Linked DNA regions of Arabidopsis thaliana. The protein of the gene in region 1 interacts with the protein of each later gene in a pairwise test. Each region holds a gene or a part of one and is shown on either strand. Other genes may lie near its edges.

Region 1 (7,439 bases):
TTTATAATAATGAACATGTATAATAATCTAACAGTTTTGTAGTGTGCACTAAACATGAAATTTATTGGGAAACATAAGTCCATGACAACTAAATAAATATTTGAAAAAAAAACATATTCAACATAACCAAGAAAACTGTTAGTTTTTTCTAAACATTTTACATTTAAACAAATTTCTTTAGCTCATCTTTACTATAAATCTATTTTATTATATAAAATATGGTTTTCAAAGTTTTGAAAGAGTCAAAGTTTTTAATCACCGTCACATTTCAACATAGATAAGGTTCCAATAAGTTTAATTATTTTGCATATTTACCTAAAATCTTCTGAGTTATGATAGACAAAATTAAAGAAAATAAATCTTCAAATCAGCTTATATTTTTTCTTCTTCTTCATATTGCAAAATAAACAACATACACACGAGTGTTTATGATTAAATCCACACAAATAAACAAGAACCAAACAAGAAAGAGTAATATATCTATTGTCTCAACTAATATACTTTGACATAATTGAGGTTTAAATTCTTCCATTAGTGGTGTTTTACAATTATTCTTGTGTCATGGTGTTTATTATTTCTTCCATATCACTATAAAGATAACTCCTTACAAAAGGGAAACGTTGCTAGTTAATGATAAAATTACCTATTAAAAAAAAACTTTTAAATCTATTCTCGGATCACCTAAGAGAGATAGAAACATGTATCATTGCACTAGTTGATTTGCTCTTTAATTTGGAAATTACTACATTTTTCGTTATTAACAACATAGAGCACTCAATAAAAAATCCTCAACATTAAGATTGTGAGAAAACATTGGAGATTTTAGTGGGCTGTGCAAACAAATTTGTAACCCTAACTAGACCAGCTATAATGAAATCTTTAGATATACTGATGTCAACAACTATCACAAAATAAAAATCTAGCCATGGGTGTTTTGTTCGAGTTCGGGTACCCGAAATATCGAATATTCTGATAAAACAATTGGTTAAATTTAAAAAAACTTTGCTTAAATTTTGATAAATATAACTAAGAATGTTCATATAATTTGGTTATTATTGGATATTTTAGTTATTTTGATCTAAAAAATAATTAATATTTTTGGATTTATAATTGTAATATTGGATCATTGGCTTACATCCAGTCTAAAAATAATTAATATTTTATATATATAATTATATAATGGTACCCATTCAGTTTGTGGTTTGGATTCGATTCTTCAGATATAGAAGTGTAGGATTCATTGCGATATTTCTTAGTGCTTGGTTTGGGGTTTAGTATATATATAATATAGAAATTATTGATCTTTTCAATCAAATTCTATTATATATAAGTATTAGTTCCTCGAATTAAGTATTTTAAATAAAATGTGGGTATCAATAGTAATTTTTAAAATCTAAAGTTTTAAACCGGTAATTGTATGCACTTATTAGATATATATTATTATTTATACCAATATATAAGATATTTTAATAACTAAATAATTATAATTTAAACATAAAAACAAACGAAATAAGTTACTGAACTTTCCTTTATAACAAAATAAAACGTTTAAATGAAATTAACTCTTTTATAACATATTTATCTACTGAGTCTATAAATATGACTAAATATTGTTTAAATAATCCACAGCAAAACAAAATAAAAACGAAATCCAAAACGATTCACAAAAACATTTCATATTTTTTTTTGTGATATTGGTTAATTTCTACCAAAAAATGAAGTGTCCTTCTATATTCTTAACTCTATTAATTTTTGTTTCTTCATGTAAGTCTAAATTATTTAATTAGGATAATGTGTCAGTATTATAATCATTACAAAAACTGTTTAAAAATTTGATATATCTTTTGAAAATTTGATAGGTACATCAATACTTATAAATGAATCTAGTGATGAACAGAGAATATATTCTTTCAGTCCAACAACAAGTCCTTTTGATCCACGCTCACTGAACCAAGAACTTAAAATTGGGAGAATTGGTTACTGTTTTGATTGCGCAAGAGCTTGTATGAGACGGGGTAAGTATATTCGTACATGTAGTTTTGAAAGAAAACTTTGTCGTTGCAGTATTAGTGATATTAAATAAGGCATTGTAACTTTGTTAAACATTAATAATAATAAAAAATATTGCTGTTTAATGTTCATCCATGTCCTTCTTTTTACAATAATGAACATGTATAATAATCTAACAGTTTTGTAGTGTGCATTAAACATGAAATTTATTGGGAAACATAAGTCCTTGACAAATAAAAAAATATTTTTGAAAAATTAAACTTATTCATTATAATCAAGGAAACTGTTAGTTTTTTTCTAAACATTTTACATTTAAACAAATTTATTTTGCTCATCTATACTGTAAATCTATTTTATTATATAAAATACGGGTTTGAAAGTTTTTTAAAGGGTCAAAGTTTTTAATCACCGTCACATCTCTAGATAAATAAGGTTCCAATATGTTTGATTATGTTACATATTTACCTAAACCTCTTCCGAGTTACGATAGAGAAAATGAAAGAAAACAAATCTTCAAATCAACTTAAATTTTTTCTTCTTCTTCATATTGCAAAATAAACAACTTACACACGAGTGTTTATGATTAAATCCACACAAATAAACAAGAACCAAACAAGAAAGAGTAATATATCTATTGTTTCTTTATTTTTGGAAACCATATTTCGCAAAGAAAAATATCAATATTCATAAATATATTCGTCCCTTCTTGATCACCAATAGTATCTACGTTTTGGTTCATCCCACAGATCAAGTGCAGCATTCCTCGCATCATTCTCAATACGTGCCTCTAGCTGCATAGCCGCCATCTCGTCTTGCGCCTTCATCAACGACTTTATCCTAGAAGCTGGAGAACTCGCTTCTCCTTCTTCGTCTTCATCTTCTTCTTCTTTCCCTTGGTCTTCATATGCCGCACATGAGTGTAGATGTGTTCCATAGTCACAATCCTTACAGTAATACATCCATAGATCTTCTGAAATAGTTTCATCACAAGCGCTGCAAGTGAAGTACGTGTCTTCACGTCCTTTACACGGTGTGCAATAAAGAAGAGTGAGTGGATGTTCATGATCTTCACGATCTACGGTTTCAGGGATAAACGCACATCCCACATGAAGACTGTAGTTGCAGTTTGAGCAATGGTAAGAAAATCCAGATCCGTATTGGTCACACGCGTCACACGTGTAGACAGACCGATCATCTGGTGGGGAATGAAGCAAGGTCAGAGGGTGGTCCTGGTGAGACTTGTTATTGGTCTCACTAGGAAGGTCGAAACATGACTTGTGTAAGAAGTAATCGCACTCTGACTTTATACATTTGAAAGCTTGCCCGGTCAGCTCTAGCTCGCAGCCAGAGCATGCGGTCTCATCCTCTTCTTTGGCTTTAAAGACACGCAGCGGATGGTTGTGACTTGGGTGCCTCACAGATTGGCGATTAACCGGTTTGGCCTTTGGTTTTCTTGAAGCCATTTAGTATGTTATTGATTTGTGTTTGGTTTTGGTTGTTTTGAGGGAGAAGGGTGTGGAACTTTATATACCAAAAACTGCAAGAGGACTTCATTATAATTGTAGGTTTAATGAGTATGCGTTTCGTTTTATTGATTATATTAATCAAGTTGTCATTGTATTATGCTATTTCGCTAATTATAAGGTTTGACATCTGTATAGGAGACTTTGACATTTGGGATTCAAAGTTTAGGAAATAAAAGTATTTAGACGCGCTTTGGTGTTTATTATTCTAAGATTAAGATAACTTGTAGAAATAAATATTCTAATTAACATCCGAGTTTTATAGCAACTAGGGCATATCCGCATAATATATATATGTGTGTGTGTAGAGAGGATAAGGTTTAATGAGGTCAACGTCTCTAAGTCTATGCTAATTATTATCTAATTTATCTTGTGCAACTTCCATTTGATAAGGTTAATTGGTTTAATATAGTTTTGAGTAATATATTGTCGGTTGTCTCCCCTCTTCTCACCAAAAAAAAAGGTTAATTGGTTAACCATAGTTTTAAGTCTTAAAACAAACGAAAACTTCTGTACAGATCAATTCCCTACCAAAAAAAAGAAAGCAACAAGAAAACAACATGCATAGATCAAATAATGTGAATATAAACATTCAAGTGGTGCTTCAAGTGATGATGTAGTGAGTATTCTATATAAACTACATGCAAGCATCATTATTTATTTATATTTTTCTTAAAACTGTATCCAGTTCAATCAAGGGAAATTAAGAAATGCTAATATATATGCAAGATCTAAATTTCAAATATGGTTGGAAATTTGATCATGTATTGGAATATTATTAAAAACTTTGACGGTTTAAAGATAGTGTCATCCCCGTTAGAAAAGTTTCAAATCTATGCAGTTTCAGGTATATATCTTTAAAAGTCGAAAAATTCTTTTTCTGATTTCGTTATACAAGAGTCTCCAAGTTTATCATCATTTATTACTAATTTAGATATTGAAGATGCTGCACAAAAAGTAAAAAAAATTGATTAATACTTAAGGGTTTTTGTCACTTAAATCTCTTAGTTAAGGGTTTTTTCATTAATAATATAGCTGAGGGCTTTAAAATGGATTTATCGATACTTGAGGGGTTTTTTTCGTTTAAATCTCAAAAACTTGTTTTTTTCTTTTTTTTTTGGTAAAACAATCTCAAAAACTTAATACCAAATCTTATTAATAATCAGGTTACAACTTAAAAGACTTTTGTTTATAAGACTTTGAAGAATAATTTGTTTCTATAGATAAAAACTGAAAGGTGTTTGTTCAAAAAAAAAAATGAAATAAGGTGATTTAAAGATTTTCTTATTAATAAATAATTTAAGCAATTTATAACTAAAAGATATACATATGTAGAAAGAGTTTGGATTGATTCGAGGCATATAAGAATTTAATTGATTTGGTCATCTTTAAGATCATAAGTATTAATAAGGAATCCAAAAGTGATTTAAGATTTTGTTAGAAAAGCAAGATAGGCATCATGAGTTAGTATATATATAATATAGAACTTTTTGATATTTTTAATCAAATTATATTATATATTTATTAGTTCCTCGAATTAAATATTTTAAATAAAATGTGGGCATCAATAGTAATTTTTGAAATCTAAAGTTTTAAACATGTAATTGTTTGCACTTATTAGATGTATATTACTATTTATACCAATATATAACAGATTTTAATAACTAAAAAATTATAATTTTAAAACAAAAACAAACGTAATATGTTACTAAATTTTACTTTATAACAAAATAAAACGTTTAACTGAAAATTAACTCTTTATATAACATATTTATCTACAGAGTCTATAAATATGACTAAATATTGCTTTAATACTCCAGAGCAAAACAAAAGAAAAACGATTCACAATAATATTTAATATATTTTCTTTGTGATATTGGTTAATTTCTACCAAGAAATGAAGTTGCCTATTATATTCTTAACTCTATTAATTTTTGTTTCTTCATGTAAGTTTAAATTATTTAATTAGGATAATGTGTCAGTATTATAATCATTACAAAAACTGTTTAAGAATTTGATATATCTTTTGAAAATTTGATAGGTACATCAGTACTTATAAATGGATCTAGTGATGAAGAGAGAACATATTCTTTCAGTCCAAGAGCAAGTCCTTTTGATCCACGCTCACTGAACCAAGAACTTAAAATTGGGAGAATTGGTTACTGTTTTGATTGCGCAAGAGCTTGTATGAGACGGGGTAAGTATATTCGTACATGTAGTTTTGAAAGAAAACTTTGTCGTTACAGTATTAGTGATATTAAATAAGGTATTGTAATTTTGTTAAACATTAATAAAAAACAAATTATATTACTGCTTAATGTTCATCCATGCCCTTCTTTTTACAATAATGAACATGTATAATAATCTAAAAATTTTATAGTGTGCACTTAACATAAAATTTATCTGGAAACATAAGTCATTGAAAAATTAAAAAAATGTTGAAGATGACATAATTGGCGCGGATCCTCATTTGTAATGACCAGTTAGAGTAAAAGAATCCAAACCTAAAATACAAATCAATAATCAAATATTGGATGTTATACAAGCTATGGAGCAATTAAAGAAGGCAACACGAATAAAATATTTGGGTCGAATCCAGTCCTTTGGATTGAGAAAACTGAAGCGAATTAACCGAAAACTCAGAAATCTAAAAACATTAACTGAATTTCAACAAAAAAAAAAAAAGAAAAAGGTGTTGGTAGATTTTATTTTTATTTAAAAATAGCAGATATCCGAACCAAATAATTTTTTATCATAATTTCGGTAAGATTTTTGAAAAAGCAAAAAAATCGATTAACCAAATTCGCTTACCTAATTTTAAGGTTTGCAAAAGGAAATACTCTAAATATCCTGCAAAGAGGCAAAATTTTACACATAAATTTGGTAAATTAACGGCGAGATTTACAGTAATTTCGGCTCCAAAAAACACCCCGCCAATTTTATTACCAAACCCATTCACTTCAATTCGCGCCAAAACTAGAATCCCAAAAGACCAATTCCTATTTAAAACCCCTACGCCCCCCACTCTCATCCTCCATTTTCGCCTCTCTCTTCCCTCTCCTCCTTTCTTCCCAAATGGCCATTGTTGATGACGCAGAGATGCGGTTAACCGAATCCGAAGCTGTTTCGAGTTCCGATGATCGTAAGATCGTTGCAGATACTCCCGATTTTATAGACGAATCCTCTCTAGTCATCAGAACAACCACTGGAGTCCGAATCTCAGCTCTACCGGCGGAGCAAAGCCTTGTTGACTCCGATGGATCTAACTCGGAGGTTACGCTTCCGGCGAAAGACGAGGTAATTAGTGATGGTTTTACTTGTGTGAACAAAGAGATTGTAGAATCTGATTCATTTAGGGAGCAGAATCTAGAGATTGGAGAACCTGATTTAGATGTTGAGAATCGCAAAGAAGCGATGATTATTGATTCGATAGAAAATTCTGTGGTTGAAATTGTTTCAAGTGCTTCTGGTGATGATTGTAATGTTAAGGTAGAGGTAGTGGAACCTGAATTGCTTGTTGAGAATCTGGTGGTTGCTAAAGAAGAAGAAGAAATGATTGTTGATTCTATAGAAGATTCTGTTGTTGAAATTGTTTCAACTGCTTCGGGTTGTGATTGTAATGTGAAGGTTGAGGTAGTGGACCCTGAATTGTGTGTTGATAATCTGGTGGTTGTTAAAGAAGAAGAAATGATTGCTGATTCGATAGCGGAATCTGTGGTTGAAACTGTTTCGAGAGGTTTAGATTATGAGTGTGTTGATGTCAAGGTGAAAGAAGAACCTGATTTAGGTACAAAATTGGAAGAAGATTCTGTTTTTCCGAATGTGCTTGAGAAGAAGGATGAGGTAATCAAAGTCCTGGAAGACCAGCCAAGTGAGATTAATAAGAAGCTAGAGCAAGAGAATGAT
Region 2 (7,471 bases), on another chromosome or scaffold:
GATATAACAATAGAGGTGTCTTACGCGTGATCTGAAACCTAGATTCGATTCAGTCAGAACTTTTGTCGAAGATGGAAAGACAAATCATGGCTTCTTCTAAAAAGGTACAACGGGAAGAGAATACGAAAGAGGAATATTTACCAAACAAGCAAGTTTCAGATGAATCAGAACAACTTGAGAAGAGTTGTTTGACAGAAGAAGAAGATGCGTGTTTGTCTGATGCTAGTCATAGCAGTAAGAAGACGATAAGGGAAGATGCAATTTGTGAATCAAAGAATAGAAAGAAGTATAAGCCAAGCAACGAATCTGGATTCAACACGTTATTTGATGATGACTGGCTTTTTGGTAACAATCAGCAAAAGAATGTTGTTACCACTAATAAAGCCGCTATCAAGAACGATGCAGAGATGATCATGAAGTTGCTGCAGAGATCATGTGGAGATTCCTTGTTTCCTAGCTAAGGCCCAGTTTTCGCCTCAATTCGGAATATTTGTATTACCATATACAGTTCCGTTCTAACTGTCTCTGTATTGTTTTCTCATCCCTCGATCGGATTTAGCCTTAGCCTGTGATCTATTCGGGTATGTATATTTCATATCCTATCATGAATATCTCTGTTAACTCGTAATCTGTATAATTTTTTGTCGTACAAGAGTTTCCTTTTTGTAGATTTCCTTTTCCTTGTAGTATTGGTTATCTACTTATCTTGTAGTCTCACATTCTTATCATGAATATCTCTATTTACTCATATTTGTATATAATTTGTTGTACAAGTGTTCCTTTTTTAGATTTCCTTTTTCCTTGTATTAGGTCTGTTGTGTATATGTATAATTTTCCCTATAGGTCAAAATAAATAATAATAGCAATTCATATACTTTGATCGTTTTAAAACAATCTCTTCCGATCCATTAATATTATGTGATAATAACGATAGCAAGAATGATCTATGAATTGTAGTTTGTTTCAACTATACAATAATTAGTTTAGTTTTCAAGAACAATAAATTTTAAATTTGATATATTAACACACTAATTAACTCAGCATGAAACCACATCATTAGTATTGCATATTCTGGTCTTATTTTATTATTTGTTTTTTAAATTACAAATTTTAGATAAATGTAAGCGTGGATAACACCTAGTTAATAAATAGATTATTATTATTTTGGTTTAAATAGGCTCTATTTTTTTTTGTAAGTTATACAATAGCAATAGATGTATATGGAATGTTATGATCTACCATGACGTTTATAAAAACACATCCAGGTTGTCACGAAACCAACTTGGTTGATGGTTTAGTTTAAGAAGTATTCCCATTCGTGCACATTCCCAGCTTTCCCCTAATTGGAAAACTATTATATTACATGTATGCGTGTATATCGTATACAAATGGTATTTGGACATTTCTTAATCTGTGAAATCTCCAATGGTATTATAATAAACGTTGCAGAGATTACGAGAGCGACTTCGCAGCCAACGGTTATTGTTTCTTGTTGGTTTCGTATTTCCGCAGCCCATCCAAGGTTGCCGCACATGCAATCAGTATAAGCAACTGAAATTTGGAAGTAAGATCATTTCAGGTTTTTATCGATCCCCCCTCAATATTTGGTCTTTTTCTGTTTAACTATTACATTGATACCTAGAGAAGAATTACTGCTCATCATGTTGTTAAATCAAGGTAATACAAAAAAAAGATATTCAGGAGAGACTTCACATATTTACCTAAATAAAATGTACAAAATAATCAAGAAGAAATTATCCGTGTGAATGTTATTGTCCATGATGATCTTGCATGAAAATCATTTGCTAAGCAGCATGTTCACCTATGTGATTAATTGGTTGTTTCAGCCATATATGAATATTTAATGCCAAGCCAAAAAAAAAAAGAGGGAAAATTTATCATGAAGGAGAAGAGTGTAGATTTGTCGTTAGACTGTCGGAAGAAACTTAATTGCAACAGCCAATTCCAGCCTGTATCTATATTCGTCGACCTATTGACTTACCTCTACGTGCAAGTATATGTATATTCAAACTTAATCATGCATGTACATAGAGACACATACATATATATTGGTGAGAGTACGTTTTAATGAGAAGCTAAACCTTTTCATTCGTTGACTATACATTATTATCTCTATAGAGTGAATCAGCCATGGCTTGTACTTCATCATCTGGTGCACACGTGCGTTCAACAAGCTGGTCCGAAGACGTTAATCCTCTGTCTCGAGCCATCGAAGATCATCTTCTGTTACTAAAGAAAAGACCAGAGTCCGCTCGTCGGAAACTTGGAGTTTTAAAGAATCTGTACGAGGTTGTCGAAGTTTTCCTCCGTTTTCAAACGACTAAAACTCAAAAGTCTTTCACAGGATTTGAAGATGTTTCTGACGGATTCATCGAGGTTCTTGATATCTGCAGCACGATCAGAGACGTTCTGATGGAGATAAAGGAACAAGTCAGGGAACTCGAATCAAGCTTGAGGAGGAGATTGATCAGAAGCAAGTCAGGAGAAGATCAAGAAGCTTTCGTGGCGCGTGAGACAGACGCGTACGTGTTTAAGAGAAGAGCACTGAGCAGAACCATCGTCAAACAATTGAAGAAAACAGAGGAGAAGATGAGGAAGAGGAAGAGAGATTGTGGAGATGTCATTAATGTAATGAAAAGAGTTGAAAAGACCAGCTTTGATGTTTTGGTTTCTTTGTTGATTGAGGTAGTGACGAAGGATCAGAGAGATCAAAAGAAAGGATCAAGGAGAGGAATTGTGTCGAGGATTTTTAATAAGAAGAATCAAGAAGTTGATGTGGATGAGCTGAAGAAGTTGAGAGAAACAGAACATGAGATTGAAGAAACAGAGAAAGAGTTGGAGTGTGTGTATAAGAAACTGTTGAAGACAAGAGTTTCTTTTCTTAACATGCTTACTCTTTGAGATTGTATAGATGTAATTTTGTTCATTGTGAAGTATTGTTGGCTTTAGTTTAGGCAAAGTCTCTCAGATCATATTGATCTTTAGAACTTGTAAAACTTTGTGTGCAGCGTTCTTAAATCATATTCAAACGATTACTTGTCAAGAATACGAGTTCGAGATAACAATTATCAGCAGATCACTTCAGTACTCTATGAATATTTCATAAGTTTATAGTTATACAATCATGAGACTGATGAGTGTATCAGTTTTCTTATCAGAAGTTGTTGCAAAACAGAGTAAGGATGAATTTGAGATAATGGGCTTATTAATTGAGTTTCATGGGCTTTATTTTATGTTTGATGGGTTGTTTGCAAAAAAAATAGCTAAAGAAATTACGCAATAATGTCTTATTTTCTCTGTGTGTTTTTATAATCACGCAATAATGTCTTCTTATTTCTCTTTTTTTAATCACGCAATAATGTCTCTACATGATGATGACAACAGAGAAAATATAATGCATGGTTGATTATTCGTTATAATTAGTAGCTATACCTTCCAAACGGGAAATCGAATAATAAGATTGCTGCACTAACAACATAATAAAAATGAAAGCATTTCAGCATTTGGAGTTGGAGGGATATGAATCTAATTATATAATTTGTGGGAAGATATTAATTTGTTGAAAATAACCTGAGATATAAAGATCTTAAACATAAAATCTAATCCAGGATGTATTCATGCGTCGAGCCGTCGAGGTGGTTACCTGATTGATAGAGAAATTAGACATATAAACATATATGTATTAATGTATGCGTATTATTACTGTCCACGTTATAGAAAAGGTATATTGGTATTTGTGTGAAACTGTGAATATTTCGCTTGTCCAGAAACATATATTGAGAGGTTAACACGTAACACAATGTCACAATCGCATGTATTGCCAAAGATAAGTTCCGGTTTTAAAATGATTATTGATCATATATTCATATTGATCAAGTAGTTACCATTATTTGTTTTCTGTTACTGTAAGACTTATATTACTTTCTTGTTGGTAATTAATATATCCATTTAACTTGATACATAAAACATATCTGACAAACCCTTAACATAATATTTAAAGTCTGATCCAAAATCTAAACATTTCTCATCTCATTTAATATTCGTCCGTCTGTTCCAAATTGTTGCAATTTACCAACACAGCCTGGCACCGTCGCTCGTGCATGCATGGTATATAGTATATAATTAAACCTTAAGACTATATATTAGAATAAAAATCTTTAAAACTATATATTATAAATTGAAAATCTAAACGAATCCACAATGTACCCTAATCCACGAGTGCCTCTTACGTACAAAGAAGGTTCCTTGTGACATGTTTTGAATCATTTAAATCATTGTTTTGATAATACCTCCAAAATGAGCTGTTCCCCGGATGTCCCACGTCCGTACAAAAACCCAAACTTGGGAACCTTCATCGTACTTTCCCTCAGATCCTTCTTAACCTCTATATATAATCTCATTCTTACACACATTCAATATATCTCTAATCTTCGCTTAAAACTCTCAAGAAGCCCTAAAAACCATTCACAATTACATCAAAAAATACCTTTTCAAATTCTTTTTTTACATTCATAAAGCTAAGTATCTCGAATAGATTAAGATCTATCTATGGCTCAGATTAACTTTGAGGGTTTGAGAGAGCTACACGACTGCGTAAACTATCTCCTCCATCACTGTCCGAAAACAAGAGAATCTCTGTCTCAACAAGGACAAGAGAAATGGACGGAACAAGTTTCAGAAGCTTCATTGAGGATGTTAGACATCTGTAACGTATCCAAAGATGTGATGACGCTCGTGAAACACAGCTTGCAAGATCTACAACTGACTCTACGTGGCAACGAATCATCTGATGTCAACGAGAAGATAGCTGCGTATAATCGGTATAAGAACAAGCTCAAGAAGGAGACACTGAAATGCTTAAACTGTTTGAAGAACATGAAAGGAAACGAAGGAAGAGTGGCCATGCCAATAGAACAGAACCTTCTGTTTGTCACAGAAGTTTTGAAGGAAGTGAGAAGAGTCGTTGTGACGATGGTTGAGTCTTTGTTCTCACTTGGTTGTATTCCTTGGCTAGAGAAGAGATCGAGCAAAGGGTCTTTGTCTTCGATCTTTTCCATTCGGTCTTCCTATTTGTTAGATGATGAATGGGACGAGACTGCGGTGCAAAGCGCGACTACGAGGTTGGAGGCGGCGGAGATTACTGTAGTGGAGCTTGAAATAGAGTTGGAATCTATTTTCCGGCGATTGATTCAGACGAGAGTTTCACTTCTTAATATTCTCACCAACTAGATAATATATGATATGTCCGGATCGGTTAGGTTTTGCTTCAAGCGGACATGTTTAGTTAACATTAAATAGATTGATTTGTAAACTTATTTTCAAGTTTGCAACATCAAATTCTTTTATTCTATATAATTTATTTTTTTACCCGTTTCCTAAACTGGCTACTTGGATTAAAGACTTGAAGTTGAAGGCACACTTTTTGTCTTCACCAAAAATAGAGTCAAAATGAAATTGTTATTCAAGTAAAATTTGAATTATAGATGTTTGTTTATTTATTCACAATTCATGTTGCTAGAATAGACATTTTCAATTTGATGATTTTGCATATTTTTTTTGGTTTTCAGATATAGTTATAAAAACCATTAACAAATTCAGTTTCGTAAGTGTTAATTTGTATACTTAACACAGCGAATATAACTAATTTCTAGTGTTTCTTTGTAATTCGTATCATTGGAGGCTGGATCTAAAAACACGAATCTCGCAATGCGTTTTATTTCAAATTAATTTGTTGACAGCAAAATAACAACATGATCAGGAAGTGCAACACACAAGTAGTAACTTAAAACAGAAGCAGCAAGTCTTACAAAGTTGTGTACAAAAACAATTCACGTCTTCTTCACAGTTCTCTTTATTTCGACATATGAAGCTGAAAATTAAGAAAAAAACAAGAGACGATCCTTTTTTCGTCATGATCTTCAAAGGTTCAGTGAGACCTAGCAGCAAAACCCAAAACCAGATTAGTGTCAAGTAGTTTGAGCAATGCTTATATGGTTACATGAAAGGTGAACTCGAGGATAACTACAAATCATCAATGTCTAAACAAAGAGAAAACTCAAAACATGTACCACTAAACTAATAACAAACATTCACAATAAAGGCACTCAATTTTCATTCACTCCCGAGAGTTTCAATGATTCATTCTAGTAGATATAAATCAAGAACATCCTATAGAGAAGTTAAAGATCCTCTAAACTTTCACCACTTGTATGAACCAAAACCAGATCAAAGCTATCATCTTTCTTCAAAACCAACTAGATAGCAGTTAACAAGAGATCTTGTTAGTAAGTGACAACTTAGAAATGCTACTCTACATTATGCATAGACATTAGCTTCATTGAGGAATTGCTATACGGTATAAACAATAATGCGTGTTTACTACGAAAAAGGAGATTTTTTAATCATCTTTCTTAATGATTCCATCGACAATACTACTAGTAAAGACATTACCTAGTGATGATCTCCGTGACCGTGATCACCATGACCATCCCAAGGGTGCCTCCATCCCTATCCATTGCCAATAGCAAGATCAGATTCAGCCACCACGAAAGATATTAGGACCAATAAAATTTACAAAAGCGAGACAAAGATAAAAAATGAAAGAGTTTTACCATAACTACAGGACCATCTTGCTTTGCCCTGTACAGAATCCAGAACCTGAAAATACCAAAAATTGAGTTTTTAAGATGTGAATGCTAGGGAAAGTTAAAACCTATGTGCGATTACTTCTTCAACCATTCTCATCGAACTGAAATTGACATAAGCAATATCTGATTCAAATTAACATCTACCTGATTAGCTCCGATACTAATTTGACAAATCCAATTTTTTGATTCAAATGGATTCTATATACAAAATTCCTCAGATGATCAATTAGCCCAAAATCCCCATGGCGAGATCTAGCTACGATCGAGATTAGCTAGGTCCCAAAATCAAAAGCGAATTAGGTGAAAGAGAGAAATCAGAAATGTACCACATAACGGCGCACAAGCCTTTTCCGGTGACGGTGTGCCAAGTCTTGGGAGTGTGGACAGTGACTCCCTTGTAAGTTATACCTCCGCCATGTCCTCCTCCACCCATTATCTCTCTCTCGAAACCCTAGATTCCCCGATTCGCACTTCAATTTCAGACCGAAAAAGCTTTCTTTCTCCTCAGCTTTGACAATTTACTACCTGAGATTTGATTCAACCATGTGAGTCGTCACTTTTAGTAAGGCCTCAATTAAAAGGCTTAGGCCCAATTTAAAGACCAAAGGCCCATTTCTATATCTGTTTCTTTCACAATGTTTTCTTCCTTTTTGGGCCCTTTAAGAAGTTTGGATACATGAATTGAATGTTTTGTAGATTTTGTAAGAGTTTTTGGTTTTTGTTTTCCAAAAACTTATTTTCATACCAATCAAGATTTTAAAATTTTGGTTTCCCTACAATTTAGAAAAATTATTTTCTTGTAG
Region 3 (8,414 bases), on another chromosome or scaffold:
TGGATGCCCACAATGTCACTTCCAATCATGAACAACAATTGACAAGTCCAGTTAACTCTCATCCAAGGCTTCTGACATGGACATAACCTATTGTTGATTGAAGCCCCGCCACTAAATAAAAGCTATTGTTGATTCCAGCAATGTTAACCTCCAGCTTGGTAAGGCTGGCAAGGAGGACCAGCTCCAAGGCGTAGTTATAAGTCTAGCTCGACATGTGGTTGTAAATGTTGAGTAAAACGTTTTAAGATTTGGGAGAACCTTAAAACAAAATGACTATGAACGAGATATCTCACCACACGAGAACGTCTTCCTCTATGACGCCGTTCTCTACCATGTCCCTCCATCACCATCAGCTTGAATAGGCACACGATCTAGACCCCAACAAGCATGAGGCTACATGTTCAGATGTTCTTGGTCAATCATAATAAAAACTGACAATATGATAATAAAACACTAACTATCACTTTGTGAGATGAAAACGGTATGACCTTGAGGGAATGATTGGTTAAAACACAAGTGTTGTAACATCTATAGAAAATGTAGCAAAACATCACGTCCTCGTCATAGCAAGCTATTAGGGTCGGGTTTTGTCAGCAAGTTTGATATAAAGGTGATTGCATATGACCCTGCTCATTACGAACGTAAAGGTGAATGCATATGACCCTGAAAAATTCGTGGAGCTTGATTATGCCAACAATAGTTCATGGGGAAGAGACTTCTCTCGGCTGCCATATCGCAAAAGGAGGAGCCGGTAGTAAATTGAAACAAGAGGCTCCGGTTTTGAAATTTACGAGAGAGTCTCTTACAAATAACACAAAGCTTACACCTCATATGGCCTCATGATTGTGCATAATTGATCGCAATTATCACAAAGAAGAATCTTCTTGGGCTCTATAAATGACATTGTTTGAAGCTATCCATGATTCACTCTCCAATGCAAACATCCATCTCTCGCAATCATTGTTTAATTAATACGAAGTGACAAAAAGGAAAGTAGCAACATACGGGAAGCAGAATGACTTAAGTTGCAACATAAGAGACGAGAAATTAATCACAATTAATTTATTATGTTGTTCTATACCACATCAAGGATCATAATTTTCATTTCTGCACTTTATAATTTTTAATCAATATTTTAAAACGAATTGCTCGGAAAATCGCTGATTAAAAATTTTGATATCTAATTGTTACGACTAGTTGCTATATAGGTAGCTGGATATGAGGCAACAAAGCTCATATGGTATGGTTTGGTTTGGTTGTTGTCATTAACTAGTGGTCGTAGAGTCTCTATCTTCACTAGAGAAGAACAAACAAATAGATCAAAATTCAAAAAATCAAAAAGTAATTATAGAAAATTCAAATGAAAAAGGAGTGAGAAAAAAGGTTAAAATCTTTCAAATTCTTAAGTTACACTAAATTAAAAAGATGTAAAAAGAAATTTATAGTAAATAGAATAACCATTGCATTTATTTTTTGGTGCATTGATATAGTTAATATTGCATTTATTATGCAGTTTGTTATATATATATATATATTTTTTTTTGTTTAAATGCATATTTGTTACGATACTTATACATACCTCTGTCTTGGAGTTAGCTTTTTTGTTATCATGTTCTTGGGTGTGTTTATCAGTTCAGTCGGAGTGGATTGATCAGAAGAATTGTTGAGGGTTTGTTCCCATGTTCGTTATTAGGATGCGTTTATGAGATGGTATTAGGTGAAGAGGTATCTACTAGCCTTCCTCTGTGCATGTTTTGGAGTAGGGCCGGATTGGTCTCAATACGATGCATTAGGATTGATATTCAGTTCTTATCTTAAGAAAGATGGTCAACCTTTTGTTTATAGATGGATGAAGCTAGGTTTTCGAACGGCTCCATTTTCTAGATGTTAGTCTTACTAGAGTATCACCTTGTCGGAGTTTCAGGTTTTTTCCTCTTGCCTTGGTCAGTTAAATAGTGTGGCACTTTGATATTTGTTTTGGAGCTCGGGTTTGGGCATTCTGTGGATCAGCCGATCCTTGGATTTTGTTTGGATGTTGGTTCTCAAGGCTGTGGATCAAAGATTTTTAGAAGAAGAGGTGAATTTTAGATTTCCAAACTTGGTTTAAATATTATATTTGGTTGAAATATTGGTTATAAATCTCGAAAATAAGATTTTAAATCCTTTCATCAAAAAGAATATTATTTTCATAATTCTGTCGGACAACAGTGATGGAAAGAATAAGAATTTTTATTATTATTAACAAGATGATGACGTGGTAACAATGTCATCAAAACCGTGACATCCACGTCACCAACGTTATCAAGGACATGACATTCATGTCATCAATGATGTATGATTTTGCATGATTGGATAAATTCATGTATTGGAACTTAAATTATTTAAAACGTTAGATATATATTAGTAAAGAGAAAACTGTTAGGTATAAATTGAACACTGATACTTTGTTTGGATATGAAAAAATTGACTTTCCTCTTTGTGCAGCTCCGGCGTCTACTACTTTGATGGGAAGGTATGTGGGAGTTTTCTTGGATTGAATTGTGGGGGCTTTTGTAAAAATAGGAACATTTTGGCCCAATAATTAGAAAAAAGGAACATTTAGAATGGGCTTATAGGTTTGGGCATATGTTTGCAACAAATATGACGCTTTTGCCCTTCGTCTTCAACACCATCGTCTTCAACACCATTGTCCAGACATCGATTTTGACGATTCATAGTGTTATTAACAACACCATCGTCTTCAACAAAATTTTCCAGCCAACATGTCTATTCTGATTAACCCAATCAATCAAAATAAATGATTTTTGATTGAAGAAATCTAAACCCTAAAGGGATACTATCTAGGGAACCCTTGGGTTCTAATCTTAAACACTCCAATTCATTATTAATTCTAAACCAAATTTGATTTTTATTGTCAATAGAGTTCATCATCATCGTCACCAACTAATAACAGAGGATTTGGAAAAGTAATTCTAGAGATCCAAACTATCACCTTCGCTTCTCACTATCGCTCAACTCACCATCGTCGTTGAAACTCACCATCGTCGCCAACGCTAATTGGAGGTCGAGATCTTGCCGTCTTTTTCATCACGAGACATGATTCATGAGTCACCGCCGTTGCTTCTTACCGTTGTCAAAATCGTTGTTGTTGCAGGAGCTCAATCACCATTGTAGGTTCAGTGGTAAGGGTAAACTCGTAAAATACTTGCATAGAAAAATACTTAAATCTATAAGGCATATGAGATATGTCTGTTTTCATAAAGATATAAACTTAATTGTGTCAATCCCATAATTAATCCCTAAATTGTGAGTTGCAGTTTTAGAGTTTATGAGTCTTTTTTAAAAAAATTATTATGTTCCATTTTAATATATTTTAGTACCAGGTTTACTTCCCCTTTTTTTTGGGTTTTAACTTCTTTCTTGTTTGAGTTTTGCTTTAGAGATTTTAGTTTTTGTAAAGCAAAAATTTGCTCCTGATGAATCATGCCTAATGCTACCTGTTCTTATTGTCGATTTGGTAGTCTTTCATTGCAGCAAATATTCTTTCAATCACTTCTTTCAAAAAATCTACATATACATTTTTGCAGCCATTTTAACAAATAAATCCTGAATTTGGACTTATTTACAACTCAATGCCATTAGCATTAAATCTTTTCTCCAAAATAATTAATTTTACTTGATTTAAATTGTCAACCACATTATCAATCAAATTTAACCCTTAAAATTAGCATAAACATATTTGTTAACAATATTTTAAAACAAAGTTTTTTGTTAAAACAAATATTATTCTTACTAAACATTTTTTGTTTAAATAAATAAATCATGTATTTGAACTTATTTACAATCTCATGACACTGACATTAATTATTTAGGAATGAAAATATTTAATTAAAGATTTAAATCTTCTAAATCCTTGCTTTTAGAGTTATTATGTCATTACCTTAAAGGCTCAAAATATAAAATAAATAAATATAATTATTTAAATATTTTAAATTTATAAAACATTATTAATATTTAAAATTATAAAAAGTTTAATATATCATAATTTTTTAACATCATTATATAATATATAAAGTTTAAAAAAATCTCTATTCTTTCCGCCATAATTTGTGATTCGAAATTTTAAAAATAAACATATATTAACCAATTGGCGAAAAATGTTTGAGTTCAACGTCCCACATCGACTAAAATATTTAGACAATAATTCATAAACATATCATAAATAAGATTAACATTAATAAAATAATGGTTTTTTTACGGGACGGGTTTGGCGTGACGGGTTTGGCAGAACGTTACTTAATAACAATTGTAAATTATAAAATAAAAATATTTTATAGATAGATACAATTTGCAAAATTTTATATATATTAACTTTAAAATATAAATTGTCCCCGCGGTGTACCGCGGGTTAAAATCTAGTATTGAAATATTTTGGTTTCAATTATTTATTTATCGGGAATTGATTTTGAATTGGTAGTGTGAATTATTGGTGTCACTGTTATACCGCGCTGGCAATTAAATCGATAGGGTCATATAGATGTCATTAGGTAATCGCAAGAGTAATATATTTTATGGATATGGTAAGGGTTGATGCTTTGTCATGGTTTTTATTATTATTATTATATATAAATGTAAATATTAATGAAATAGTGTGTATATATATATATAATAGTTTTGGAATTACATGATGTATAATGTATATAGGGGTTGAGAGACCTATGACCGGTCAAAATTTGGGGGCCAAAGTAACAAATTATATATTTGGGGTTATTATAAACTGTTTTGAAATTTGGATATATTTTTCTTAGAACTAAATATATTTGGAAGCCTATTTATAAATCAGGTTTGCTGTAAAAAAAAGTTTTTAAAAATGGAGACAACATACAAATGTTTCATGTTGCTTCTTTCAGAGCCGGCCCGGGAGAAGCGTTGCCAAAAAAGAATAAAGACAAAGGTAACAAATAAACAAAGAAGACACAACAGTGAATTCATCTAATCCAAAGTTGTATGTGGTTTCCGAAATGCTTCCTTTGTCTTGTTCCGAATCTCTCTGTCGATGAACTTGAAAATGGTGTTTCACGTTCATTCAATAAAAAATAACAACCATAGTGTACACAGAGACTGATAGTGAAATAAAGGAAAAAAAAACTATAATCTGTTAAATTCAGATAATATCTATTATTTTTTTGTTTTGTTGAAAAATCAAATCTCTAGTAACATTAATGAGTATGAATCGTGTCTGGTAGTTGGTACGAATCGAGATCTCATCAATGGGTTTTTTAAGCTGCTTTGAGACGTGCGTAACACGAAGTTGTCCACTATGACTTGCTCTTGTACTTATAAGTTAAAATAATGATGCAGCAGAAAACAATTACTATTTTGTGAGACACGTATATCCCAACAAAACAATATGTCGTAGAACGTGCTAATTAATTAGTGAATACCTACGTGTCACGATCTCATGAGATTGGTGTATTACTGAGAACTAACGATCTCATGAGATTGGTGTATTACTGAGAACTAATCACTAATAAACGTGAATCTCGTGACACATATTATCATTATGCCTATATATACGTACATAAAACAAGACATTATTACAAACACAAAATATAGAAAAAGAAATAATGTATTCAGAGGAAAAGAAAAGCAGAAATTATGGTTCAATCTTTGTCTACTGCTTCTTCTGTTTCGTACTCATTGTGGAGGTTGCAAGATTCGCAAAACCTTATATCAACCTTCAAAACCTAATTGAGACGGAAGCAGTAGTAGAAGAAGGTTTCATGGCGGTGGGGAACTCAGGGAATCTTCCGTGTGGCTCGTCAAAACCTAGCTCTGCCTCTGTTCGTGCTCATGATGAACAGAAGCTCTCGCAAGCAGTAACAACAGATACGAGAACTCGTCCTCCAAATTCGTACTGCGTGAAGTTCCAGTCTTTTGTCACTATGGCAAAGCAGGTCAAAGAAAACGGTGGCAAGTATGAGTCACGTCCTTTCTCCGTCGGTGGATACAATTGGTACGTACGCGTTGACTTCCATTTCAAAAATGTTGAGAAACCATACCTTATACATAGAAGATATACATTTTTTTTTGTCAAAGGGTATTCATTTATATACTAGTGTTTTGATCATCTCCACTTTCTATGTGAAAGATTTTAACTTATTGCTCTGAATCTCACCCAAATTTTAATTTGTATATAATTTGACATATTTCTACTTAAAATGTTATAAGGACGCTCCTAATCTACCCAGTCATATACATTCCAACGGACTCGGGTGGGTACGTTTCGATTTACGTAAGAGTCGATAACTCAAGCCTCATCACCAATCCAAAAGATGTGTATGCAGAGATCACATTCCTCGCTTATAAAAGCAGTACAGACAAGTACCAAATAAGCCAGGGTACTAATTAACTAATCTAGAGCAAGTAAATATATATGTTTAAATCTTTTGTGGTTTGTTCAGACTAGTTATTTAAGTTTGATCCGTTTGCAGAGACTGAGGCCCAGCGATTTCATTTGTTTAAACAACAGTGGGGACTTTTACAATTTCTACCAATTTACTATTTTGAAAATCCGGCATATGGATACTTTTTCGAGGGCGAAAGCGTTGTGTTTGGCGTTGACATCAACATTGTTAAACCCTTTGAAAATTGGGAAGTGTTCTCTAATGAACAAAACATTCGTGACCCTATTTTCGAATGGAGACTCACCAAATTCTCTACACGTTTTCTTGACTCTTACACTTCTGATTCCTTTTCTTCCGGAGGAAGAAACTGGTACGTGTGACTTTCTTCCTCTTGTATATATATAACAATACGTACAAGATGTGTTAGTTTAATAATATGATGGTTTTTTACATTGAAGGGCATTGAAAGTGTATCCAAATGGAGTTGGAAATGCTACGGGTAATTCGTTGTCACTCTATTTGTTGAGTGATCAGTCAAATGATAAGGGTTATGTGGAAGCTAAGTTACGAGTTATTGACCAGATCCAATCCAACAATTTCGAGAAAAAAGGTTTGATATCTACTTTGTCAACTACTACTACTAATTTAAAGCTAATTAATTATAATTAATGAGCCTTTAAAAAATAAAAATAACTTTTGATTTCTTCCTATATACACAGTGGCGGCATGGCCCAATGCAACGGAGAATGGATGGGGTTTCGACAGGTTTCTATCATTTGCAGATATCAAAAACACATCAAAAGGTTTCCTAGTCAACGATACTCTCAAACTTGAAGTCCAGATCTTGTCCTTCTCGAAAACCGACTACTACTCTCATCAATCGTCTCTTAATGTTTTAACGGGAGATAGTACTTAGGTGACTAATCGTCGCTAGTGTAATTTTACAACTGGCTACTATCACTTTGCTTCATTGTGTTTTTTGTTTCTGTTCAATAATAATGAGTTCGAGCTTTCCTATGTCAAACTTGATCAATCTGATTTCACATATTGAATACCAAATTGGATAGGATGAAAGAGGCAGTCCCTAGGATGTTTTTTTTTTTTTTTGGATTTAAAGATTGGGTACGTAATCCATTCACATTTCCTTTTATAATTGTCCACTTCTTAATCGTTTAGTCGATCGTCTACGGCTTCAATAATTGTAGTTTTGTCCTTAGTAATTGATTATTCTTTTCACTTCGTTTTTCGTCCACTAATACAATTACTACAATGTTGTTCTTCTCCATAAACATTATCTACATCGATTCCTCTCTATTGCTTGTAGTTGTACAGTTGTCTACTGCGCTTAAACTTTTTGTTCACTTTTCATTTATGTTCCCGTCCTCGGCTTCAACTACTGTACTTTTGAAGATTTGTTAGATATACTAGGAACATGAACTGCTACTAAAAACTTGTCCACGGTTCCATCTTCGTGGACATCTGTATTTTGTTTACTTCGTTTCTCGTCGACTGCTACAACTACAGTATTGTTGTCCATCATCCCTTCTCCGATACATTATCTACATCCATCTTTCTTCGTTTCTCGTCGACTCCTACATGTTTGGGTGACAAATCATCAAGTGATAAATTATTATTGTATTAAAAGCAACCATTTTTATTGTATAACAACCATCATAACTTTCTTTCTGTCCACATTTAATGTGCCACGCCACACCATCATCTTATCTAGACGTCAACTGCTTTTGGCAGAGGTGTCAGCCTCATTGGGCGAAATGTTTTGTTTCCCTCCATAACCAATTAAAGGTAGTTTAGACATCTTCTCCTTTGTCAAAAGCTGACTCATTGCACAATTTTAAAGATATAAAAAATAGCATTGCCGACAAAATATTTATACAAATATGGCACAATTGGCAAAATTCCCTTAAAAAACATAAATAGTACTTAACAAGATTATATCACTTGATGATTTGTCACCCAAACATTTTCTAAAAATTCTTGATCTGAATT
Region 4 (8,145 bases), 2.1 Mb from region 1:
AATACGAATACTCTCTCCCACACTTAATCCAAATGGATAGACATAATTGGGTGAGAAGGAAATCTAAATAGCTTTATTGTACATTCCCTTAATAGAAGTTAAACTCTTGAGTCTTCTTAAGTTAATAAATTTATTGTGGGACAAACTAAACCAAGATAGATTTTTGTGTTCATATGAGCTTGTTAAAGTAGAAATCTAAAATTGAAAATAAGATGGTTCATTAAGTTTAATTGTGCAAGAAATCGAAAAGAAGAAAATATTCAGATTGTCACCACGATTAAAGTGGTTCTTTGACTGGTCTCATACAAAGCAAAAAAAGAAGAAGAGAGAGTTAACACAAGAAGCAACTCCTAAAGATAACTTCCCTTCTTCTCATTATACAAATCTATATAAATCTATTTTAATGACAACCCTAAACATATGGGCTAATAAGTTATTTCTATGACAATGAGTTTTTATTTTGGACAAACTTCTATGACAATGATTAAGTGTTCCAATAACTGCAGTTTGTTTGACCAAGATTTTGATTCCAATTTTTAATTTTTATTCGATATGCAATTATTAAAATCCGACTCAACCCCAAATTACGACCCAAATTCAACTAACAAACACGAATGGGATGGAGATTGATTTTTTTTTTTAGTGAATTAGGATGGGGATTGATTTTCTGTCTGGAAATGGAATAGGTTGTTGGGAACGAAAAAGCAATCTACTAAATACTCTCTATTGTACCTTCCCTTGATACAAAAGTTAAACTCTAAGTTAATGAAATTGTAGTTAGGCCAAAGTTTTTTTTCTGTTTAAGGGCAAATTATAATTATTTATTAATTGTTTATCAAAAATAAAATATCGGTCAACGCATAATTCTGACAACCGAAGTAGAATGGTTATGGTATTGGCAACATAACTTATATTTATTTGTGTATGTCGGTATGTTATAACAATATATAGTGTAGCTAACAAGACATTTTTAAAGTATGCATGTGTGACTAGATGATGACATCTCTTTCGTATAAGTAGCAAACATTTATCCATTTTTGTGCTCATATAAACTTATTAACATAAAAATCTAAAATTGAAAATAAGATAGTTAGTTAAGTTTTATTGTGCAAGAAATAGAAAAGAATAAAATATTGGGATTGTCATCAAGATTAAAGTGGTTCCTTGATTGATCTCACCAAAAAAAAAAAAAAAAGAGACTTCTACGAGAGGCAACTCCTAAAAATACTTCTCTTCTTCTTATCACACAAATTATGAATCTGTTTTGATGGAAACCTAAACACATGGGTTAATGAGCTATTTCTATAACAATGATTGGGTTGCTCTACTAATTGTAGTTTGTTTGACAAAGATTTTTATTCCACTTTTATTTTTTGTTCGATAATTCCTTATCCAAACTTGATTTAAACCCCAATTTTGACCTGAGTTCAACAAATAAACGCAAACTTAGCGAACAGGATGAGACAAATTTTCTATCTCGAAATAGATTAAATAGTTATTAAAAACTTATTCTTTTTATCAGGATTCTTTTGTTCTATTCCTTTCACAACTTTGAATTCTTTGAAGCACTTTTGTATAAAATCACAATCATTTTGTTCAGATTTTGGGAGCTGGAACTGAAGTGTTGTTTCTAAAATCTTATCAAAGGGATGCATGTTGTATTGCTTTTGTGTCGCTTATTAAACTTTCAATTTGCACCCAAACGAGAAATAAGATCAAATCCTCTTGTTTTCATTTAGATTTGTGTTGACATTTGTGTTAGTTTCTTAGTGTAAAGGAACAAGTTTGTGTTGACATACATTCTTTCTTCGTTTTTTCAGTGGCAATTGACAGTTCCTTACTTGCTACTTCCTCTAAGATTGTCACTTACTTGATAAGATGAACAACGATGATGTAAGTTTCTTTTTTTTTTCTAATGTTATAGAATTGTATGATTGAGAATTGGATGTTTTTTCCTGAATTTAGAATTGGTCGGACGAAGAGTGTTGATATTTTCTTCAACTTTGTACTGCTGAGGAAAAAGGGAATAGAAGAAAGACGAGATTAAATATAACTGGAAAAGAGTCCATCATGAGATAGTTTGAAGAAAAATTTGGGAAGAGATATTCATGGGATAAACAATTCAAGAACAAGTATGATGTGCGTAGAAGAACATACACAAAGGTTAAAAACTTGCTTCATAACAGAACTGAAATTACATATGATTCTGTGTAAAGAATAAATATAATTTTTCTTTTCATTACGTTTACCTAAGTATTTAAGAAAGCAAGTAAACATACTTTTAATAACTAAAGGTCGCTGAAAATTCTAAAAATTGTAACGTGAATTCTCAAAACTGTAAAAACTGATTCTTTTTATTGTACCCTATATGTTAACGTTAATTCTCATAACTCTAAATTCTTATTTTTCCATCAAAATCATGACGTCAATCAAACTGTTAAAAGGCGAGATACAAATATAAATATTGTACTAATATTGTTAATCTGAAATATCTACTATTCAAACATATTTGTTTGAAGTATATCATATTACATGATACATTTTTTGGTGATGAATCAAATTGATGAATAAACATTTCAATATGAAATTTACTTGTTTTTGAATAATTATGTAATACTTTTTTTTATTAGTTATATTTTGTAAAAAAATATAATATTTTATTATAAATTTCATCAATTGACACATATTCATTCATGACAATTTTTTTATCAAGCTTGAGATCCTCAAAATGGTTTTATCATTAGTTATATTTAAAATTTTAACATTAAATCATAATAATATAAAAATTTGGTGTTTTTCAGTTTTCTAAAATTATAAATTATATTATTTTGGTATTTTGTATTTACCGTTATCGCACATGCTAGTTAACCAACTATAAAACTTCAACAAACGTAAAATTTAACCGCTAAATCAATCATTTAAAATATATGATAACTCTTAAAACCGCAACTCTCCGTTTCCATAAATTTCAGCAGTCTGCATTTGAACCATTCAAGCCTCGTAGTTTGGTCAAGAACCGATTACGCGGCCAAATCTTATATCCGACGCTAAGTCGCTAACCATGTGGAAACCATTATTTATCAATAGAAATCAAAACGACAAAACCCGACCTAAACCGAAATCTCAAATTCGAACCCAAATCCAACTTACAAACCTGACCTTAACCGGAAATCAGAATCCGAAAACATTTTCCCTTATAGCAAGGTTTAAAGAAAGCAATAACAAAACCCTATCTCTCGTCTCTTCTCCCCCAAACTCTCGCCGCCGTGATAACCCAAAGTTCTCGACGAAGCCATGTCTACCGGAGAAGAAGGTCACATGGCGATGGCAGATAGAGGCTCTAGAAAGAGAAGAGTCGGCGTTAAGAAAGGTACTAAAGCGGCGAGGAACAAAAAGCAAAAATCAAAACCTTCTACTTCCGATAGGTTTAAGGTTACAATGAAGAATCAAAAGCTATTTCAGAAGAGAGCACGAGATTACAATTCCGATGACGATGAAGAAGAAGATGATGAATCGAAGAAACAACCAGAAGTAACAATTCGTGAGAAGATCTTCTCTGATGCTAACATGGGACCAAATTACGAAGAGATTGGAGAAGAAGATAATGATGAGAATTCAGATGGTGAAGATCATGGAGAGATTGAATCTGGAATCACTAAGTTTGCTACTGATGGATGTAATGCTTTCAAAATCGCTTTTAAAGCTATTATGAAGAAGACTAAAGGAGATGATACATTGGTGAGATTTTATAGCAGATTCTAGTTTTGAGTTTTGATTTGGGAATATAGTGTTGAACTGTGTTGGTGTTGTGTGTAATAGGGCCCAGTTTTATCAGCACATAAGCATCTTATTGGAGAGAAGCTAGCTGAAGATGAAGCTGAAAAGAAAGCTAAAGGTCAAGCTAGAAAGGCTAAACATTTGGTATGAGTTTGGTTGTTGTGTTCACTATTCGTTTGTGTTCTTGTGTTTTAGATGATGATTTATCTTAACAATTGCTTTTTTAAGATTGCTGAGAAGGGACATGTTAAACCTGGAAGTTATTTGGATTCTCATGAAAAGATTCTTATTGGTGTTGCTACTAAAGGAGGTATTGTTGCTTTGGTTAAACTCTCTGTTTCTTGAGATTGTTTGGTTTTTTTTTTTTGTTTTAGTATTGACTCTTTTTTTCCTCTCCATGAACTTGTGGTATCACAGTGGTCAAGCTTTTCAATGCTGTAAGTTTGTTTCTATGTCTATTTTTGAGGTTTTTATTCTCCGGTAGTGATTCGTATGATTCTTAGTTTATGTTTTTCAAATAGGTCAACAAGGCTCAACATGCTCAGAAGGGTTTGAATCCTTCAAGGTCTAAAGACGCTAAAGGTAGGCTTAGAAATTGATCGTTGGCATGAATCCACTGTCTTGTTCTTATCTTCTAATTCTCGTTTTTTATCCTATTGGAACATCCATCAGTGCTGAAGAAGCGAAGAAAAGAAGCATTCTTGTCTGAGTTAGGGAAAACAAAAACAGACACCAAGGTTTGGCATAGTCTCCATATCTCTTACTCTCTCTCTTTCATTATGATTTATCTTGAGAGTTTATTCCTTAGCCGTTTGATGCACGTAGAAACAAGTTAGTATTCTGTCTTGATCTAGCTCCTATAGAGAGTCACGAAAAGAATCACCTCATGAGTGAGTGATAGATGTTAGTTATAAATCAGAAGTATTCTTAGTAAATTACTAGTAACAATTTTGAATGTTCTTAAAGCCTTCAACTTTGGATGAACATAGAAGCAAGTTAGTATTCTGTCTTGAGCTGGCTTCTATAGAGAAAGGATCACCTTCAGTAGCGAGAGCCGTTAGTTATAAGTCTAAAGTATTGTTGGTTAGTTAACTAGTGATATTCTGTTGGATGGTGCAGGCTCACAAATCTGAAGACGAAGCTCCTGTTTGGGCTCCTCTACGAGATAATTACATGTTAGCAAACCCAAAACTGAAGGACTGGGACAAGAAACAGGTATCTCTTCATTCTTATCCACAAATCTGGAATCACATAGCTTGCATACTGATTTATACTCTTTGATCTGAAACTTAAAATTGAATTGTCCGCAGGAAACAAGCGAGGGAGATGATTTTGCCGGTTTGTCAGGAGATGAAAGTTATGAAGACTGAAGAGTTTAAACTAGTAGTTAAACGAGCAAACTTTAATTTTGCCTTTGTATCATGCAAATTTTGTCTGATCAATATGAATGAATTCAGTTTTTTGATAGTGCAAAAGGATCCTGAAAGGTTGTGATTCTTGTGGTTACGCTTTTAGAAAATACACTTGTTAGTATCATTAACCAATACCGTAAATATAGAAGTGATGATACTCCAAACTTCTACATGGTTATTATTTATATGACGTAAAAAAAATATACATTCGTTGTTTTGCCTTGGCTACACAAATTATAATAGGACAAAATTTAAGGATCATGAACCTGAATCTGTAGAAGAGTTTCTAGTTTCACAGTCAAGTCATGATGCCAAATGACAGAAGAAGATAACAAACTTTATGCAAAAAATGAGGCAGAACTGCAGAAGCATGCGCCTTTCTAAGCAAGTATGACGCTTTTGAGGCGGAGAACTCGTGTTCCTTTTCAACCAATAATGGCTTCCAGATCCATCGCTGCCAATTAGTTGCATCTCTGTCTTATATCTCCACTTTGTGATCTTTCATTGTTTTGAGGTTTTATCCTCAGTAGCTTCTTGTTGGGCTCATCGGGTCGTAATCATAAGCTTCACCGGACTTGACAAACCGTCCTTTCACACGCCGTCTCACATCAGCCCTTTCTTTCCTAGAGACATACCTTACTCGCTTGTCAAACCTATTTATACAAAATATGTTAAATATTAGCTATAACAACTTTCAATGATGAATTAAATTCCTTTCTGTGTGCGTTTATACTTACTTGCGAGCCTTCTTCTTTTCCTTGTAACGCATAACAGCGTTATTACGTGTTGTTGCATGTGAGGAAGCAATAATGTCCTGTGCTGTTGGATGGCACCATGGTTGTGGCTCCCTTGAAAGCTGCTTCATCGATGACGCCCCACAATCTTGGAAATCTCCAGCATTACTTTCTCCAGTGATGCCAGAGAAGGAGATATTCGAATGTGCTGGCTTTGATGAATAGCAAATTATTGGCTCGGTTCTACAAGTCATGAACGAATCTGCAGATGCATTATTGCTTAATGCTGGCTGCTGCATTGAGCCCTGAATTGAGAAAACACACAAAAGAGCATAAGGATCACAGAAAAAAATCATCCTTAACTTTAGTGATACTAGTCTCAGATAGAAGAAGAAGGTTGACAAAACCTCATGAGCTTCATCTTTCTCGAAAAGACTTCCAATTCCACCGTGCTCGAAGAGATATCTTGATGAGTTGAAGGCTGAACCAAAGAGTTCTTCATAGTTCTCAAGAGCCAAGTCTACTTCATCTGAAATGAGATTTCCATTGAAGTCATCCTCACATACTCCAAGCTCCTACAACCAGTACAATAATAAGAAACATTTAGACGCTAGTTGCTTTCAAGATCTTACCACAATATGAAGAAAATCATGTTAAAATACCTTAGCCATTGATGAATTTTCTGGAACACTAGAGTGATCCATACCTTGTGCAGCCGAACTGGTTTCAGGCTGTTCTACATTAATTTTTTGGACACCAGATTTTTCTCCTGTGCCATCTTCATCTATAGTCATCAAACCCATTCCTTGCTCACAAGCGGATTCTTCAGCAGAAGAGATATTCAAATCCATACAGAAAGACCATATCGAGGATAATTCGGCACTCGAGGGACAACCAGAATAACAATTGATGGTTTGCCTTTTATGATGTGAAGTAGTAGTAGAATTCTTGCCGTCATGGCCTGACCAATCACAGTTTTGACATAGAGAAACCCTCTCATCACTACACCGGACAGAAGCTGGCTGTGCATTACACCTCTCACATACCAAAGTCCGCGAATGACGTTTCGATAGAGCATTAGCAGAATGAACATTACGGTCACACGAAAGACACAAACACGCTGCATCAGATCGACAATACACCATTGATCTTTGTTCACCACAGAAATCACACATATAACCCATCTTTCAACCAATCTCAACCGTCACACTGAAGAAAGCAAGCTCCTTTCACTAACAAAGAATCAAACCATTTTGGTTAGTCCCTTATATCATAATCTTAGAAGGAAAAAAACTTACCACAATACATTAAACAACTAACAAAAGCTTGAAACTTGGTATCGAAAGCAAGTCCAGAATTAGATAAAAGTCCAATCTTTTTAAACATCTCTTCCTCAAAGATTGTAACTTCCTATGGATGAGACTGTTCTAAATCAAAGACCAATCAAAAGAGACATCAGAGAAACCAATTAACATCGCAGAAAGACTTCAAATTTCAGATCAACATGTACCAATCAGAGAAGTGAGCTAAAAAATTATAGATTTCTTATTACAAATCCGAGAGAAGTGAAAGAAGATCCATTTCAAGATCAGTCAAAAAGGATTGAGAATCAAAGCAACCCTCACTAAAATAACAAGACAAGGGTTTTAAAGAGCTCACGTAGGAGAGATCGTCAAGTATCTTCTGAAGCAGAGACACCAAAAATGAATGACTTTTGAAACGAATAAGCGATGATTCCACAAATTTCTTCTTTAGCTGCGTGTGAAGAAGGGTAAAAGGAGAAACAGATGGATAGACAATGGGTGGGTTGTGTCTGCAAAGGGACATGTAGGCAGAGGCATGTGACATAAGCTGATAATTCTAGAAACATTGGGTAAAAAGTTCAAAAGAACCCATTTTCTAAGGACCCTAAAGATATTTTTATGAGTATGAAGTCACGCGCTCGCGTGTAGACAAAGAGCCGTACTCGCGATCTACAAGGCACAAGTGGAACTTTTCCGATTCTGGATTCTCAAAAGCGTCTTCTTTTAGATGCTTTAAGGCTTAAAAGCCCAATCACAACAATAGTCTTTGCTTTGACTTTACAAAAAACCAAAATATCTTAATTTGAGAGACGCACATGAATGAACAAAATATCTTGCCTAAAAAAGGAGATATTATTTTTGTAGGTGAAAAGAAAGAGAAAGATCAAATATAATATCTGGCAAATTGGAAACGTCTAC

What was found.
Region 2: the proteins of AT5G43520 (region 1) and AT1G76210 interact in a two-hybrid assay, tested with the Arabidopsis thaliana proteins (one large-scale study listed by BioGRID).
Region 3: the proteins of AT5G43520 (region 1) and ZW9 interact in a two-hybrid assay, tested with the Arabidopsis thaliana proteins (one large-scale study listed by BioGRID).
Region 4: the proteins of AT5G43520 (region 1) and AT5G48240 interact in a two-hybrid assay, tested with the Arabidopsis thaliana proteins (one large-scale study listed by BioGRID).

The regions. Positions count from the first base shown.
Region 1 is NC_003076.8:17,482,719-17,490,157, forward strand, and holds AT5G43520 (Cysteine/Histidine-rich C1 domain family protein), read right to left. Parts: upstream 3,592-7,439; 5' UTR 3,474-3,591; coding exon 2,721-3,473; 3' UTR 2,513-2,720; downstream 1-2,512. Other genes in the region: LURE1.4 (Putative membrane lipoprotein), read left to right, coding at 1,716-1,764, 1,860-2,083; LURE1.5 (Putative membrane lipoprotein), read left to right, coding at 5,431-5,479, 5,575-5,798; AT5G43530 (Helicase protein with RING/U-box domain-containing protein), read left to right, coding at 6,609-7,439.
Region 2 is NC_003070.9:28,592,981-28,600,451, reverse strand, and holds AT1G76210 (DUF241 domain protein, putative (DUF241)), read left to right. Parts: upstream 1-4,455; 5' UTR 4,456-4,569; coding exon 4,570-5,250; 3' UTR 5,251-5,502; downstream 5,503-7,471. Other genes in the region: AT1G76230 (uncharacterized protein), read left to right, coding at 72-461; AT1G76220 (hypothetical protein (DUF241)), read left to right, coding at 2,152-2,922; AT1G76200 (NADH dehydrogenase ubiquinone 1 beta subcomplex subunit), read right to left, coding at 6,472-6,528, 6,633-6,678, 6,995-7,101.
Region 3 is NC_003070.9:21,611,303-21,619,716, reverse strand, and holds ZW9 (TRAF-like family protein), read left to right. Parts: upstream 1-5,547; 5' UTR 5,548-5,627; coding exon 5,628-6,016; intron 6,017-6,231; coding exon 6,232-6,401; intron 6,402-6,494; coding exon 6,495-6,777; intron 6,778-6,865; coding exon 6,866-7,017; intron 7,018-7,126; coding exon 7,127-7,323; 3' UTR 7,324-7,914; downstream 7,915-8,414. Other genes in the region: AT1G58265 (Cytochrome P450 superfamily protein), read right to left, coding at 8,329-8,414.
Region 4 is NC_003076.8:19,556,007-19,564,151, forward strand, and holds AT5G48240 (Rrp15p protein), read left to right. Parts: upstream 1-3,236; 5' UTR 3,237-3,294; coding exon 3,295-3,738; intron 3,739-3,819; coding exon 3,820-3,921; intron 3,922-4,005; coding exon 4,006-4,087; intron 4,088-4,194; coding exon 4,195-4,214; intron 4,215-4,298; coding exon 4,299-4,359; intron 4,360-4,449; coding exon 4,450-4,514; coding exon of another isoform or gene 4,515-4,585; coding exon 4,586-4,671; exon of another isoform or gene 4,672-4,766; coding exon 4,767-4,821; exon of another isoform or gene 4,822-4,896; coding exon 4,897-4,992; intron 4,993-5,087; coding exon 5,088-5,147; 3' UTR 5,148-5,269; downstream 5,270-8,145. Other genes in the region: BBX8 (B-box type zinc finger protein with CCT domain-containing protein), read right to left, coding at 5,713-5,842, 5,927-6,228, 6,331-6,498, 6,586-7,107.